3 linked regions of the Schizosaccharomyces pombe genome follow. The protein of the gene in region 1 purifies or fractionates together with the protein of each later gene. This does not show direct contact. Each region holds a gene or a part of one and is shown on either strand. Other genes may lie near its edges.

Region 1 (5,548 bases):
CCATCCACTTTCCTTTCACTTAGACTATCAAGGCAAGATAGTAAAACGCCTTTCTCAAAAATGGCAGACGTTTCTAAGTCGGATTCACTTAGTGAGCTAAGCTGAAGTTTGAAAAGCTCCAAAAAGGAAGCGTAAAACTCTGGTTCAGTTTCCGCCAATTCATAAGACTGCAATAGCAAACTCAACATATTCTTCCAATGCTCCAAAGCACCATAGTGGGAGAGAATAGAGTAGCTCAGAAAGGAAATTGATAATTCCGCTAATGCAGAGATGGGATTGTCATTCCACACGCTTTGGACGAGTCTTTGAAACAAAAACGATTTATCAATTGCTTGCTTAGACCGTTCAGGTCCAGTGGCAGACGGCGACCAGCTTCGTCGTAAATTGAATTCAGCGAAATTTAATAGTTTATCGTCTCGAGAGGGTTTTGAGAATTCCGGATCTTGTGACACAAGATCAGCGTTGACATACGTTGAAGTGTCTAAGTAGAAAAATTCACCTTCAGTAGCAAAAATTCTTTGAAGATCTTGAACTGTAATGAACTTCGTCAACAAGTCCCAATCCTTTGTTGATTCAAAGGGATAAAAGTTTTCGTCATATAATACATCAAGCTTCTGCAAAGAAGCTGTTTCAGATTTCGAATCAAAGTCGATACTATATTTCATATCTTCATGGACCATAGCAAAAACTCCAGAAATTAATCCAGCAGGGTATGTTGGAGACCAAGTGAAAAGATGAATTCCACCTTTTACATTTCGAATACCTGGAAGCTTACTAGCTTCATATGAACTCTGATCAATGCCAACGTAATATGTATTTAACCATCCGACAAACTCTATACTCATTATATACAAAACAAATTATTCCATATCTTCATTTATTTTGTCTATTAAGTTGAATTTAAGATCGTAGACATTGGTCAAAGCTAAGTTTCAGGCTACTGATTTAAGAGTTATAGCGATGGATATTATAAAAAACACCATAATACATTAAAGGTTTTTGGGTGTCAGCAATTCTACACTACGCTATAATATACATCGTTTCGTATCACTAAATATCGCCTGCTAGAATAGTAGTTAAGATCTATTTATTCATAGTTACGGATAAAATTCCATCTATCTAAATATATTCCAATTGATATAAATTAATCGAGACATTTTAAATAAAGCTACAACTGAACCTCGCTCCTTTAGTTTAGTCGTTAGCTAGATCGCTGACTGGACACTATTAGACTTCTTTAAAGTAATAAAAGTAACAATTGTTAGTTAAACGTACAACCTACCGCTACATGGCAAATCGTAATATAAGCTCACCGAAATTTTAGGTAGTGTTACACATTTCCGCGGACTTTGTAATTCACTTAAAGACACGTAAGGATACACTGAATTTGTTTGAGATATTCCAAAAATCAATCAGGGAATGTGGAATTACATAATATAAATAATATTACTTAAGTACTATTTGTTAATGGAATCAATTGTATTCTATACACCATTGATTAATAACATAGATGGATATACACGAGAGGCTTGAGACATATAATGATGCGTAGCATTGGAATTTGCTTAACAATTTAACACTCATATTTAACCCACGTAAAATAGTTTTACGTTTCTTAAAGCATCTGCTAATCAAAATCTGTTTTGTCGAGCTGATAAATTCGTGTTTATAGTATTGGGAAGAATTACTCTATAAAACGCTCTTTTTAACTTATAGATGGTAATTGAGGTAAGAGGTACTTCTGAGTAACTTATCTTATTAATGCGAAAGAATACAAAGGACATTTCCATAAACACAGGGTATAAACGACAGGAAGATGCTTTAAACACAGATTCTGAGGACTTAATATATCGACCAAAAAAAATTATTAAAACAAATCAAGAGGATGCAGTACATGATTTGAAATACGAAAATTTCGTATCAAAAAATCACGTTTTACAAAGCGACATTAATGGCAAGAAGAGGGACAGCAATCGAGACAAGGCCGCTGTAGTCACAGCGCCAATTGCTTCTACTCATGAATCTAATTACGAAGAATCTGTTTCCAAATTTAAAGAGAGTTGGCTGCCTCAATTAAAAGATCTCATTGAATCTCATAAAACAATATGCGAATCAACGTTAGCCTACGAGAGTGATCAAGCTATGGCTTCTTCTAATACATTAAAGAGAATAAAAGATTTAAAAAGCAAACCAAAAAATATTATACAGTTAGAAAGGTTGCATATGCTATCTAATGGCGAACATCGTTTATTATCGAAAGACGAAACCGATGATATTGAGTCTGCATACTTGAACCTTAGATCACATCTTCAGGTACAAGAACAGGTTTACGCTGAAAAGGATCATGAATATTCGTTACAACTTCAATCATACAGAGAGGCAGCAGAAAAGGCCAAGCAAGATAGTAAGAATACATGTCTTTATGCTGACTTTATTTGATTACTAACTATTTTAAAGTTTTAGAAACAAAAGAAAATCTTTCCTCTGAATTATCGATATCGAATATCCAGTTGAAGGAAGCCAAGGAAAGGTTAGAAGCTGCGAATGCAAGCTACCAAAAGCTACGTCGAGAACACAAAGAACTTGCACTTTATCATGAAAAGAAAACACATTCTCTAGTTTGTAATCTAAATGGTGAACGAAAATCCTTTGGGGATTTTGTTGAGAACGAAGTAAAGTCATATAAACATGAATATGCCAATATTTGTGAATCACTTCGGAGAGCTCTAGTGCTGATACAAGGTTCTTGTACTGAGAAAATTTTGCGTTTTAAAGAAAAAATTCTGGACTTATTAGAAATGAAACAACAAGAAGAAAATGATCGAATATCCCACATTGAATATGAGAATGATTTAACGGTTAAAAAGCTTAAAAGGAGAATATCTGAGTTGGAAATGGCAGTAAAAGAATATGAATCGGAAAAATCATACTCGGAAAAAGAATATGAAGAAAAAATCTCCTCTCTGCGTATAGAATTAGAAGACAAGTTAGCTGAAATTGACATGCTTCGAAATAAACTGTTAAAGGAAGAGCATAAACACCACTCTACATCTGAAAAACTTGAAGAACTTTCTAAATATGTTGCAAGTATTCAAGATAAAGAAAGAAATAATGGCCAGAACGCATTGGAACTACAAGCTCGAATCCAACAGCTGGAACGGAGAAATGAAGATATGTATAATAAACTGTTAGCAGAAGAAATAATCAGACGAAAGCTGCATAACGACATTCAAGAACTAAAGGGAAATATTCGAGTTTTTTGTAGGGTTAGACCACTACTCCCAAGTGAAGAATCCGAATATTGCATTGCTGATGTTTTACAATTTCCAGATAAAGACGCACTAGAGCCACAAAAACTTATTCTTAAAGGGCCTAATGTTGAATCATCACTCGGGCATACTTATGATCGTAATTATGAATTTTCCTTTGATCGAGTCTTTGCTCCTGAAAGCGATAACTCGTCCGTTTTTGAGGAAATATCACAGTTAATTCAAAGCGCTATTGATGGTTATAATGTTAGTATATTTGCATATGGACAAACAGGATCGGGTAAGACGTACACAATGTCGTCACAAGACGGTATGATAGCGATGTCAATTAAGCATATATTTAATTATCTATCAACCTTGAGGGAGAAAGGGTGGGTGTATAAATTGAGAGGTCAGTTTTTGGAAATTTACAATGAAACGATTTATGATCTATTAAACAAAGCGGAAATGTTGAAAAATCCTAAGCACGATATTCATCATGATGAAAAGGAAAGACGAACAACAGTGGATAACGTTTCAATAATTGATTTTAATGAAGAAGATACTGTTTACAAGATGCTAAATCGAGCAGGAGAAAATCGATTTATAGCAGCGACAAAAGCAAATGAACGGTCTTCAAGATCACACACTGTTTTCATGCTGTATATAGATGGTGAAAATTCTAGAACCAAACAAATATGTAAAGGTACGCTAAATCTAGTTGATTTGGCAGGTTCTGAGCGGTTAAGTTACAGTCAGGCAGTTGGGGATAGACTACGAGAAACGCAAGCTATTAATAAAAGTCTCAGCTGTCTTGGCGATGTTATCCATGCACTTGGAAATGCCTCAAATAGTACCACGAAGGAAAAGTCTCACATACCATACCGAAATTCAAAGGTGAGTATTAGAATGAAAAGTTCTTTACGAAACACGTTCTTTAACTGTCAAAGTGGCTACTTATTTGCTTTGCAGCAGTGTGTAAAGTCTATATTGAAAGCATTTTTGTACTAACCAGACATTAGCTAACTTATTTGTTAAAATATTCACTTGGAAAAGGTGCCAAAACCCTGATGTTTGTTAATGTGTCTCCTTTAAAGTCGCAATTCATGGATACATTAAATAGTCTGCGATTTGCAACAAAAGTCAATGATACAAAAGTAGGTTCTATTAAACATTATAAACGTTAAGCTTATTTTAGAGTAAAAAATGTTTACCAAAGCATTTAAGATGCTGGGTTTGGTGGAGCAGCTGCTGCTTGTGCTTGAATGATGGCACCTTTAACTTTGCTGAATTCTTCTTGTGAGATTTTTGTTTGATTTTCGAGGCGTGCACTATAATTATGAATTAATAAAATGACATACGCAATTCGATAATACAAATGAAGAAGTACAACTCGCATTTTTAGAGAGCGATTTTAACCTCAAGGAAATTCTTCTTTTTCAAATTTCAACAAACATACATTTCTTTATTAATGAAATCCAATCTTGTTTTAACGTTGGTCTTTGCTTCCTCATGACTTTGCTTTACAAGGGTAGGACCGATTTGCTTATATATATTTGAGTCAGGAGCCACTTTTTCCAATTCCTAATTCGCATTAACAAAACAATTCTAATATAAATGGAGAAAATAGGGAAAATAGTAATTTTTGTGGCCTTAACGTACATTGAGGACAGTAGTGTTTTCTTGTAATTGGGTTTCCAACTTTTTTAAACTTTCGACATAAGTGCTTAGTTCTTGGGAATTTCGTTAATTATTTAATTCGATGCAGAAGGTTTTGATTTACCTGTTTGTAGGTTCTGATATTTTTTAGCTAATTCCTCCATTTCTATTCCTGTGTAAAAAGACGTAAAAGGATAGTAGGTAAAGAGACATTCTACTTACCTTGAAAGTCAGCTGAAATAGCGAAGTTCGTTGAAATTCTATATTATGAACAAAATATATTTTAATTGTGTGATATGATTGATTTTATGACTATATTGGATAAAAACGAGAAATAAATAAAACCGAATTAATTTAAACAGAGAAATGTAAGCTACACTAGGAAATCGATTTATGAATGAGTGAATGAAGGTGTTGCTGAAATTTTGAGTAAAGACTCACTGTTTTGATACAACAAAACTACTTGGTTCAGTATATAAATTAGTGAATTGCAAACCTTTTTTTTGAATAAAGGATATGAAAAATATTGTTTTAGTTCACTTCTCAACTGCATCCTTCTGGAATTAACAATTCGTAAATAATGAAACCGTTTTAATGAATACAAAAATGTCTTATTAATATTCAAAGATATAAAGGAAATA
Region 2 (5,381 bases), on another chromosome or scaffold:
GGATAAAAGCTTGGGATCCTTGTGTGTTTGGAAAATCTCGATTACAGCCCTCAAAGAGTATGCGTTTTAACCCCAGATTTACTAATATCACTTCTGATAGTGATAGACCTGATAAACGGATTATGATGCTGACTGGACTGGCAGGTGCAGGTAAAACGACTTTGGCTCATGTTATTGCTCATCAGGCTGGATACAAAGTTTTGGAAATAAATGCTAGTGATGATCGTACTGCTCATACGGTTCATGAAAAGGTATCCTCTGCCATTAGCAATCATTCAGCCTTGTCATCTCAACCTACATGTGTTATAGTTGATGAAATTGACGGAGGTGATCCTGCATTCGTACGAGCACTTTTGAGTTTATTAGAGAGTGACGAAAAAGCGACTGAGTATTCTCAAGCTGGTAATTCAAAGAAAAAGAAAAAGTTTAAGAAACTTTGTCGTCCCATTATTTGCATTTGTAATGACTTATATACTCCAGCACTTCGACCTCTGCGACCATATGCTCAAATAATATATTTTCGACCACCTCCTCAAGCATCTCTTGTCGGTCGTTTAAGGACTATTTGCCGAAATGAAAATATAGCTGTTGACAGCCGCTCTTTGACTTTGCTGACAGATATCTATAATTCTGACATTCGAAGCTGTATCAACAGTTTACAACTTTTGTCTTTAAATAACAAACGTATAGATTCTGAGACCATAAAGCTTTTGCAACCAAAAAGTAATTCTTTTAGTACTTCTAGTTTAATCCAATCTCTTTTTTTACAACTTGATAATAAACAAATACGTGCAATTGAAGCATCGCAACCTACTTACTCACATTTGGACGCCCTCCTTGCAAGGATTGATGGAGCTAATGATTCTGAATCAGTCTTGATGAATTGTTTTCATACATACTTAGATCTTCCTTTTACTGATAGCTTACTTTCTAAACCTGCTTTGACAAGCGAGTGGCTTTACTTTTTCGACCAACTTCATTCACAATGTTATAAGGGAAATTATGAGTTATGGAGGTACATACCTTATTCCATTATTCATTTTCATTATTTGTATGCAACTCCTGAAAAGTGCCGCCTTCCGCATCCTCCCAGAAGTGATTTGGAAGCTTTAAAACTTTATCGTACTCGCAAAGAAATATTGGATTCATTCATATCGACGCTAAATGCTTATGAAAATCAAATGCATGGAGAAAGATCAATTCTTTTGGAACTTATCCGTACAATTTTAATTACCATAAATCCTACACTAAAACAGGTAAGGTCTATATATTTTAAAAAAAAAAAAAAAAAAAATTGCGTGAAACAATATTTTTTTAATTTACTAACTTTTTATAGAAAGAAGATTCTATGCCAAGGAGCGCTTTACCTTCTAAAATTGAGCATGCGATTAACATTTTAAATCATTATAATTTGCGTTTCCAACAGCTTCCCGTTGGAGATGGCAACTATGTGTATAGGCTTGAGCCGTAAGTTCCAATATTTTTATTTCTTTCTAGTAATAGCTAACGTTGACAGACCTTTGGATGAATTGGTTTGGGACGCACCTACAAGTTCATATTCTGTTCGTCAAATGCTATCTCAGGAACTGCTCAAGAAAAGGCTCGCAGACATTAAAAAACAAACCCTAACGGACAACCCCACTTCTTCGAATTCTTCAAGAAAGCGCAAAGATTTTAATTCCGGAAAAGCAATTAAGAGAGATTTTTTTGGCCGTATCATTTCTGAACCAAAATCTGAAGCAGTTACATCGAATAATGCAGCTTTGAATACAGGAGATCATCCAGTTTCCATCAAGCATGCAATCAATATCAAATTTCACGATGGGTTTTCCAATGCTGTGAGAAAACCAATATCGTTGAACGAGATTCTGAATTTCTAATCTAATGTGCATTAATATTTTTAATTTCAATCTTTTTGAAATAAAATCAATCATTTAATTTAAAAAAAAATCACTAGTAAAAATAGGTGTATGCGTAAATTCATCTAACCATTATTTCCTGACCGCGACTTCGGCGTGTACTTTGTCAATGGCTTTAAGATTTTGAGTTAACGATCAATACTTGTATTTCTCTATTTTAATTCAAAAATAAAAAAAATACTTTCGTCATTTGAAGTTCTCAAATGTCGGAGATTCATGTGAAAACTGCATTATCACGTCTGGCGGACAAGTATTTACAGAACTCCAAAAACCCTTCTGTCCCTTACACAATTGAAACGATCGTGTCTTTCTTTCAGGAAATAATTCACTCGTAAGCTAATTTCGTGTAAATGATCATGCTAACTGTTAGCATTTCTCCTGATACTTTTCAACTGGACATTGATGACATTCTGTACAAAATATATTCAAAAAGTATGTGAAGGTCTAAATACCAAAATTAACAGTTTTTTAGTTCCCCCCGAAGAAAACAATGATGCTTTATTTTCTAAATTATCTAACTTAGTTTCGCGTTTGAAAAGTCAAACGGTCATTCACAACAAATCTCAAATACTCTATTTCTTATACTTGCTCTCTCCTATTTCTCAGTCATCAAGAGATGTCTCCTCTCATTTATTAGATGAGTCTATTTCCAATCCTATCAATATTCCATCAACAGAAGTGGAATCCTCAAACTTTGGTCAGACACGTTACGATCAAGTTCCTGAAAACCCCCAAATTACTGATTGGGATGAAGGATTGGAAAATGAAAGTTCTATCTCAATTGCTCATGATTCATCTAGGCTAAACCGTAGTACTGAAACTTCTTCTGTTCAACATACTTTGATTACAGAAGCCGATTTGTTGTCTTCAATATCTTACGTACTTCAAGGAATTTCTACCGAATATGTTCAGTTTAAAAATGAATTAGCGCTGTTGTCTAAGAGAATACCTGTCCAATACCTTTTACAGATGCGAGCTCTTTCAGAGACAGGCTTATTATATCAGGAACTAAAGGTTTTCAGCAATTATGATCCTTCGGTCAGTCAATCCATTGATGGTGATAACGTTAGTAAAGCATTTATAAACGATCAGTCTTTAGCTTTACAAAGTTTAAAATCGGTCATTTCTAAAGAGCTGACTAATTTCCTTGCGTTAATTGCATCTCTGGATTCACAAATTCGAGCAGACGCTTCACTTGAGAAGCCTATGGTAACTATCCGGCGTTGCATTGCCTGGACGCAAGTTGCCAAGCTAAAACTTAGAATTTTGTCTTCAGTTGTTAATGATAATATGAACCAGGAGAATAAAAAAAGATTGATTCAAGTGGTTTCGAAATACAATGTGCATGGAGATCCGCTAATACAAGAATTGAGTGATAAAATACTAACAGAAATTACTGGACCTTTATACGAAATGATTGAAAACTGGATTTATAAAGGAGAATTGGTCGACCCTTATCAAGAATTTTTTGTTAAAGAAAAAAATGGTAGTGAAAGCCATGATCATCAAGGGCAAGGTGATGTCGTCTGGAAAGGTAAATATTTTTTAGACAAAGAGTTAATACCAAGTTTCCTTTCTGAAGAACTTGTCGACAAAATCTTTTTGATTGGAAAGAGTTTAAACTTCGCACGTTATGGATGTGGTGATTTTGACTGGGCACAAGAGCATTACCAGAAGCTAGTGAAAAAACTTAGTTATAGAGACCCTCATTCATTAGAAACAGTGGTTGATAAGGCGTATACTGAGTCCATTAATCACTTAGTATACTTGATGGAAGAGGTGTTTCATTTGACTGATCATTTAAAGGCTATCAAAAAATACCTTTTACTAGGACAAGGTGATTTTGTGGACTTATTAATGGAGAGCCTTGGTAATTCTTTGGATCAGCCGGCTAATACTTTGTTCAGACACAATTTGACTGCTTCTTTAGAAAGCGCCATTCGTTCAAGTAATGCATCTTATGAACCTGAATACGTATTAAAAAGATTGGATGCTAGGCTTCTGGAGCTTTCACATGGTGAAACTGGTTGGGATGTTTTTACGTTGGAGTATAAAGTTGATTCACCTATCAACGTAATAATAACACCATATTGCTCTAGACAATACTTAAAAATATTTAACTTTTTATGGAGGTTGAAACGAATTGAGTTTGCCCTTGCCCATTCCTGGAGGCGAGTAAATTTGGGCGAGCGAAATGTCTTCAGAAATCTGGATTACACAAAATTCGAATGGCATTTTGTCAGTTGTCATCTTGCGGAAATGATTCATTTTGTTTGTCAACTTCAATATTATATACTCTTTGAGGTAACGAAAAACCAAAACCCAATTTTGCATTGTATACTAACCATTGGAAACAGGTTATCGAAATTAGTTGGCAAGAATTACAGCTTGCTATGGAGAAACCAAACGCTACATTGGATACGTATATAGAGGCACATGAAAAATATGTTACTAGTATAACTCATAAGGGCTTGTTGGGTGGTGGTAAGTCAAGGAATGAAGATTCCTTCCTTCATCAGCTTCATGATATACTTAAAGTTATCTTAAACTTTCATGATGCAATTGAGTTGTTGTATAACTTTTCTTGCTCCCTGTCGAATAGAATTCGCATTAATGTACCAATTTCGACTGATGCTTTGGCAGCTCAATACACCCCTATAAAAAATGAACTCTCAAATTTTACTGAGGAATTCCAGGTTCGACTTCAAAAATTATTACATGGATTAGCTTCCCATAAGGACCCAGAAATGCGCTTTCTTTCCGTTCGTCTCAATTATAACGAATTCTACGTTTCTCATAGACGGCGTCATGATAAGGATGTTACCAGTCAATAAATGAGGTTCATGCATGATTATTTAAACTTTTATTACTCGTAGTAAACTATAAATTTAGTTATTAATATTTAATGTGATTTAACTATCGTTCAGCGGTGCTGTTTAATTTGCCTTTGCCAACCACCAACACCACCCACCCATTTGGTTAACTTTTTTCAGCAACCACATATACGGATATCATGTCCGCGCCTGCTGGTAGACTTCAACCTCAGCGTTTTGCTGCTTTACCTAATCCCGTTACTGCTGAAAATAAATTTTGGCGGTCATTCAAGGTTCCTGTCGTTGCCAAGGAATATAGTGCTATCACTAGTATTCATTTTTCCGCTGAATCCCCTTATGACTTTGCAGTAACTAGTGGGGCTCGTGTACAAATTTATGGAGCTAGTTCAAGGTCTGTTAAAAAAACAATTGCTCGATTTAAGGATACCGCATATTCTGGTAACATTAGAAAGGATGGAAAACTTTTGCTTGCAGGAGATGCTACAGGACTTGTACAGGTAAGTCTACATTACCAAAAGCTTTGAAAGATAGTTGCAATTAAAACGTTGATAAGCTGCACATGGAATTTTGTTAGTTTAGTTTAGCTGATTGAAGCTGTCATTTGCTAGTATATAGCTAAAAAAATACC
Region 3 (3,743 bases), on another chromosome or scaffold:
AGCAAGCGCCATAATGTATCAGGGAATGCACAATGCTACTTAACGATCCTTGATATATAGCACTATATGTTAAAAAATGTAAACAATAAGAAAATGTGATTTCAATAACAAAAGGTAATTATATTGTTTAACATTGAACACATTTGACAAAAAAAACTAATGTACTTGATCACACTACTAATGCTATTCTAAATTCGCTAAAGACTTGTCGCCAATAAAATTAATACACCAACGTATTCGCTTAAAAAGTATAATTAAAAAAAAAAATTGTTAAAATTTATTTATCATTATAGTAACTCTGATTTTTACTTTTTTAACAAAACCACCAATAATGATTTTTGAAGCTTACTAGTACCTTAAATATTTTGTTCTATTAGGGGTGTGTTAGTAGTTTTGAGCAGAATTGAAATTCGAAATATCAATATATTTATAATTATGTAGGTGTTTTTTTACAAATATAAAAAAGAATTAAAAATAACTTATGACTTTTTAGAAAATATTCCGGTTAATTATTTTTTTGAAGATTAAACACAATCGTAAGTGCTCCAACTAACTTTTACATGGAAATAATTAAATCGACTTTCTTGAGCTAGTGCCTACAATCCTTTAACAACATGCTTTCAAAGCCCTGGTGCACTGTTTAACAGTTTCACATTTTAAGGTATGTTAAATCGTTCAATTGAGAATAGAAATTTGCCTTCAAAATTCTGTACTTAGTGAAAGAAGATGCACTTGTTTACAATAAATAAATATTTAAAAAAATAAAAAGCAATCTTCCAGTTCTCAAAGAGGAATATAAGTGTCTTTGAATTGCGTTCTTTATTATTAATAAATTGGCTTTCGTTTAAGAAATCGAAGCAGCAAATTATTACGTTAAAAGTCAGTCAAAATTTGTCGTGCATATTTGTTAAAAATTCAAAAACTCTTTTGTTCTCCTTTTGAAGAATGTTTATCAAATGTTTATTTTTCTCGTTTTCCTCTAATATTGCATCCAATTCATCAATTGAAACATATTTACGTTCATGCAACAGATTACGAATAAAAAGCAGCTGATTTTGAATTTTTGCATCAAGAAGGATAGCATTCAGTTCACATACTTCAAACGGGTTCGAGTTAGGACGTTCGTATAAAGGACTTAACATCTCTACCAGTGAATTCAAGGTACCACTTAAACATGTCAAAAGTGTTCCGTTACTTTTTTTCAATTCGTTATTTAATCCTTTTAACAATTGAAATTCATCGTTATTCACCCTACTGTTAAGGAAATTGGAATTTTCATCATTCTGTTGCAAAAATGAAGCGGTCTCAGGTAGTATGGGGGCATTTGTGTTTTGCTTAATAGGCTCTTTAACGATTAACATACTATTTAGGTTTCTTCCTTTTCGAGCTTTCACTAGTCCATAGTTACCTTTCAAAGTCTCCATTTGTTGCTCATGCTGGCGTAATGAAACAGATAATTGATTCTTTAATGCCTTCAAAGTCAATTCATTTTTAGCATTTACATCTTTCAAACCTTTATTTTGTGTAATTAATTCAGCTTGATCTCTTTCCAGTGTTCTAACTTTATTCAGTTGCAATTGACATTCGTTTTGATAAAGCTCCAACTCATTTTTGAGCCGTTTTATTGTATTGTTATCTCTTTGCTTTTCATATTCATTATTTTTAATAGCATCAAGAAGAGATTCCTTTTCTAAACGTTCTTCGTCAGTTGCTCTTAATAAACGATATATGATGTTCACTATGTTGCAATTATCACGAATGTCATGAGAAAGGCGTAACTTTTCAGCTTGTATTACTCCTTTGGAAAATAAAGATTTGTTAATATACAAAAGGCTTTCTTCTATATTGCTGGGGTTGCAAAAAACAATGGGGGTGGTCATCTTCCAATGTTTACACTTATTAATGCGGTGGTGAAGAAATAATGTAGAACATCCTTATAAAAATCATCTATTGCATAGAACTTAAAACAGATTGATTATTAACTACAAAGAATCTAATATTATTTTTAATTCATAAACATTAAAAAAAAAAAAAAGTAAGCCGGAAAGCCAAAGAGGTATAAATACCGATTTTCCCAACATTTCTAAATTGTATGCACTAATAAGCCATAACAGCTGACCAATAATCCACAGAGACAGACAAATAAGTCCCTTCTTACTTAAAAGCTTAGAGTTTGGTAAAACCAGAGGTAGAAATACTAGATACCACATAAAATACTAAGTTGTTAGTATAATCCGTCATTCTTCTAATTTCAAACTTAACATACCTGACTGGTACAAACCTTATTAAAGGTTACAAATGCAAATGTTTGGGCAAATAGAGTCCCAGGTAAATTCTTTTTTCCAAAGACCAAGGGTATTAGCATGCACAAACTTAACTGCGGCAGAAATGCAAATAAAGAAGACGCTTTTGCTCCGAAAGATGATTCATAGTATAAGTTTAAATGATGTAGAGAGAAATTATGTCGATGATCTGTTCTACCAAAGTGGTAAAGATATGTATGTTCAAGGAATGGAGACCCGTAAAGGTAATACATCAATAAATTACATATCGTAAACATAAACAAAGAACCAACAACAATCTTTAACTGATTAATCGATAATAAAGATAGAAATTTTTCCATGAAAGTGGACCCTTTTTTTGGTTTTGAAAAATATACTAAGAAAGCAATCCCATACATAAATGGGTAAATTTTAAAATGCACAGAAAACCCAAGTATTAGGCTAGCTAGCCAAACTGATTTTTTTTCGATCAAATACAACAAAGCAATGCTCAATATACCAAGAATGGCTTCACAATTCCCTCGAGTACTGATTATGGCGACGAATGGGTTCAATATCCAGAAGGAAGAGTAAATTAACGACCTTTTGTAAGATATCCTCCTAGATAAGAGCTTAATCATAAGCCACCCAGCAATTAAGTCTGATATTGAAAACAAATATTTACCCCACGACGGAAATCCGTATTGAGTAGGAAGAAGCAAAATTGCCAACATTGGAGTATAGCGATATGTGTCACGCATATACGGTGACATTCCTATGGAGACATATTTTGATGCGTCCGAAAACACGAAATAATCGATGTCCGTAAATTTAAGGGCAGATCGTCTATCATGCCAAATACCATAATTCAACAATACAAGTCTCATCAATAGACCCAATAAAAGTAAAAGAAATGCATCAGTAGGCGCATATAGGAGATATAAACTACTTTCACGTAATTTGGTAATCATATTTTCACGACTATTGTACTTTGACAGTAATTTCATAGCTTTTGCATAATGGATAAGAGCTTCACGAGCACTTGTATTGAATAGACTGCAAACTTTCACATCCAAATCAATGAGATATTTTTCATCCTGGGTTAAACGATATTGCAAGCAAGATTGAATAAAGCACTGAATTCGCAAATATTCTTTATCTGAGACACTAGTGTTTGTCCATTCAAGCAAAGAATTGGTAACTCCAGCAGCTAGTAAAGAATATGCCTTTTCATAATTTTGAAAGTTGTATGATTGAATACCTTTGATTAGTGTATTAGCAGTCGAAGAACTGAGGTTCATTTTCGTTAAATCGTCATACTTAGGAGTTTTTACGAGATTCAAATTTACATTTTCCTTTTTCCGTATGTATCCGAACTGCAAAGTATTTTTTAAAAAAAGCGCAAGGTAACTAATTCGCAAACGAAGTGATGGTTCTAATAAAAGAGAAGATTCATATTCCTGGATCAAATCCTCACTTTTG

Evidence for each region.
Region 2: the proteins of pkl1 (region 1) and alp6 purify together in Schizosaccharomyces pombe (affinity purification with western blotting, with the first as the bait; one study listed by BioGRID). This does not show direct contact.
Region 3: the proteins of pkl1 (region 1) and msd1 purify together in Schizosaccharomyces pombe (affinity purification with western blotting; one study listed by BioGRID). This does not show direct contact.

The regions. Positions count from the first base shown.
Region 1 is NC_003424.3:3,437,217-3,442,764, forward strand, and holds pkl1 (kinesin-14 family minus-end directed microtubule motor Pkl1), read left to right. Parts: upstream 1-1,673; 5' UTR 1,674-1,716; coding exon 1,717-1,728; intron 1,729-1,766; exon of another isoform or gene 1,767-1,770; coding exon 1,771-2,404; intron 2,405-2,457; coding exon 2,458-4,145; intron 4,146-4,270; coding exon 4,271-4,435; 3' UTR 4,436-4,470; coding exon of another isoform or gene 4,471-4,579; 3' UTR 4,580-4,707; coding exon of another isoform or gene 4,708-4,832; 3' UTR 4,833-4,901; downstream 4,902-5,548. Other genes in the region: U5 snRNP-associated protein Aar2, read right to left, coding at 1-845; pfd6 (prefoldin subunit 6), read right to left, coding at 4,471-4,579, 4,708-4,832, 4,911-4,981, 5,032-5,071.
Region 2 is NC_003423.3:480,448-485,828, reverse strand, and holds alp6 (gamma tubulin complex GCP3 subunit Alp6), read left to right. Parts: upstream 1-2,000; 5' UTR 2,001-2,122; coding exon 2,123-2,250; exon of another isoform or gene 2,251-2,289; coding exon 2,290-2,351; exon of another isoform or gene 2,352-2,391; coding exon 2,392-4,223; exon of another isoform or gene 4,224-4,276; coding exon 4,277-4,753; 3' UTR 4,754-4,881; downstream 4,882-5,381. Other genes in the region: Ctf18 RFC-like complex subunit Ctf18, read left to right, coding at 1-1,256, 1,337-1,467, 1,517-1,880; U3 snoRNP protein Utp15, read left to right, coding at 4,933-5,250.
Region 3 is NC_003423.3:3,048,717-3,052,459, reverse strand, and holds msd1 (microtubule-anchoring factor Msd1), read right to left. Parts: upstream 1,910-3,743; 5' UTR 1,881-1,909; coding exon 885-1,880; 3' UTR 501-884; downstream 1-500. Other genes in the region: gpi14 (pig-M family mannosyltransferase), read right to left, coding at 1,983-2,216, 2,267-3,743. UniProt on the Schizosaccharomyces pombe protein: Has a role in meiosis.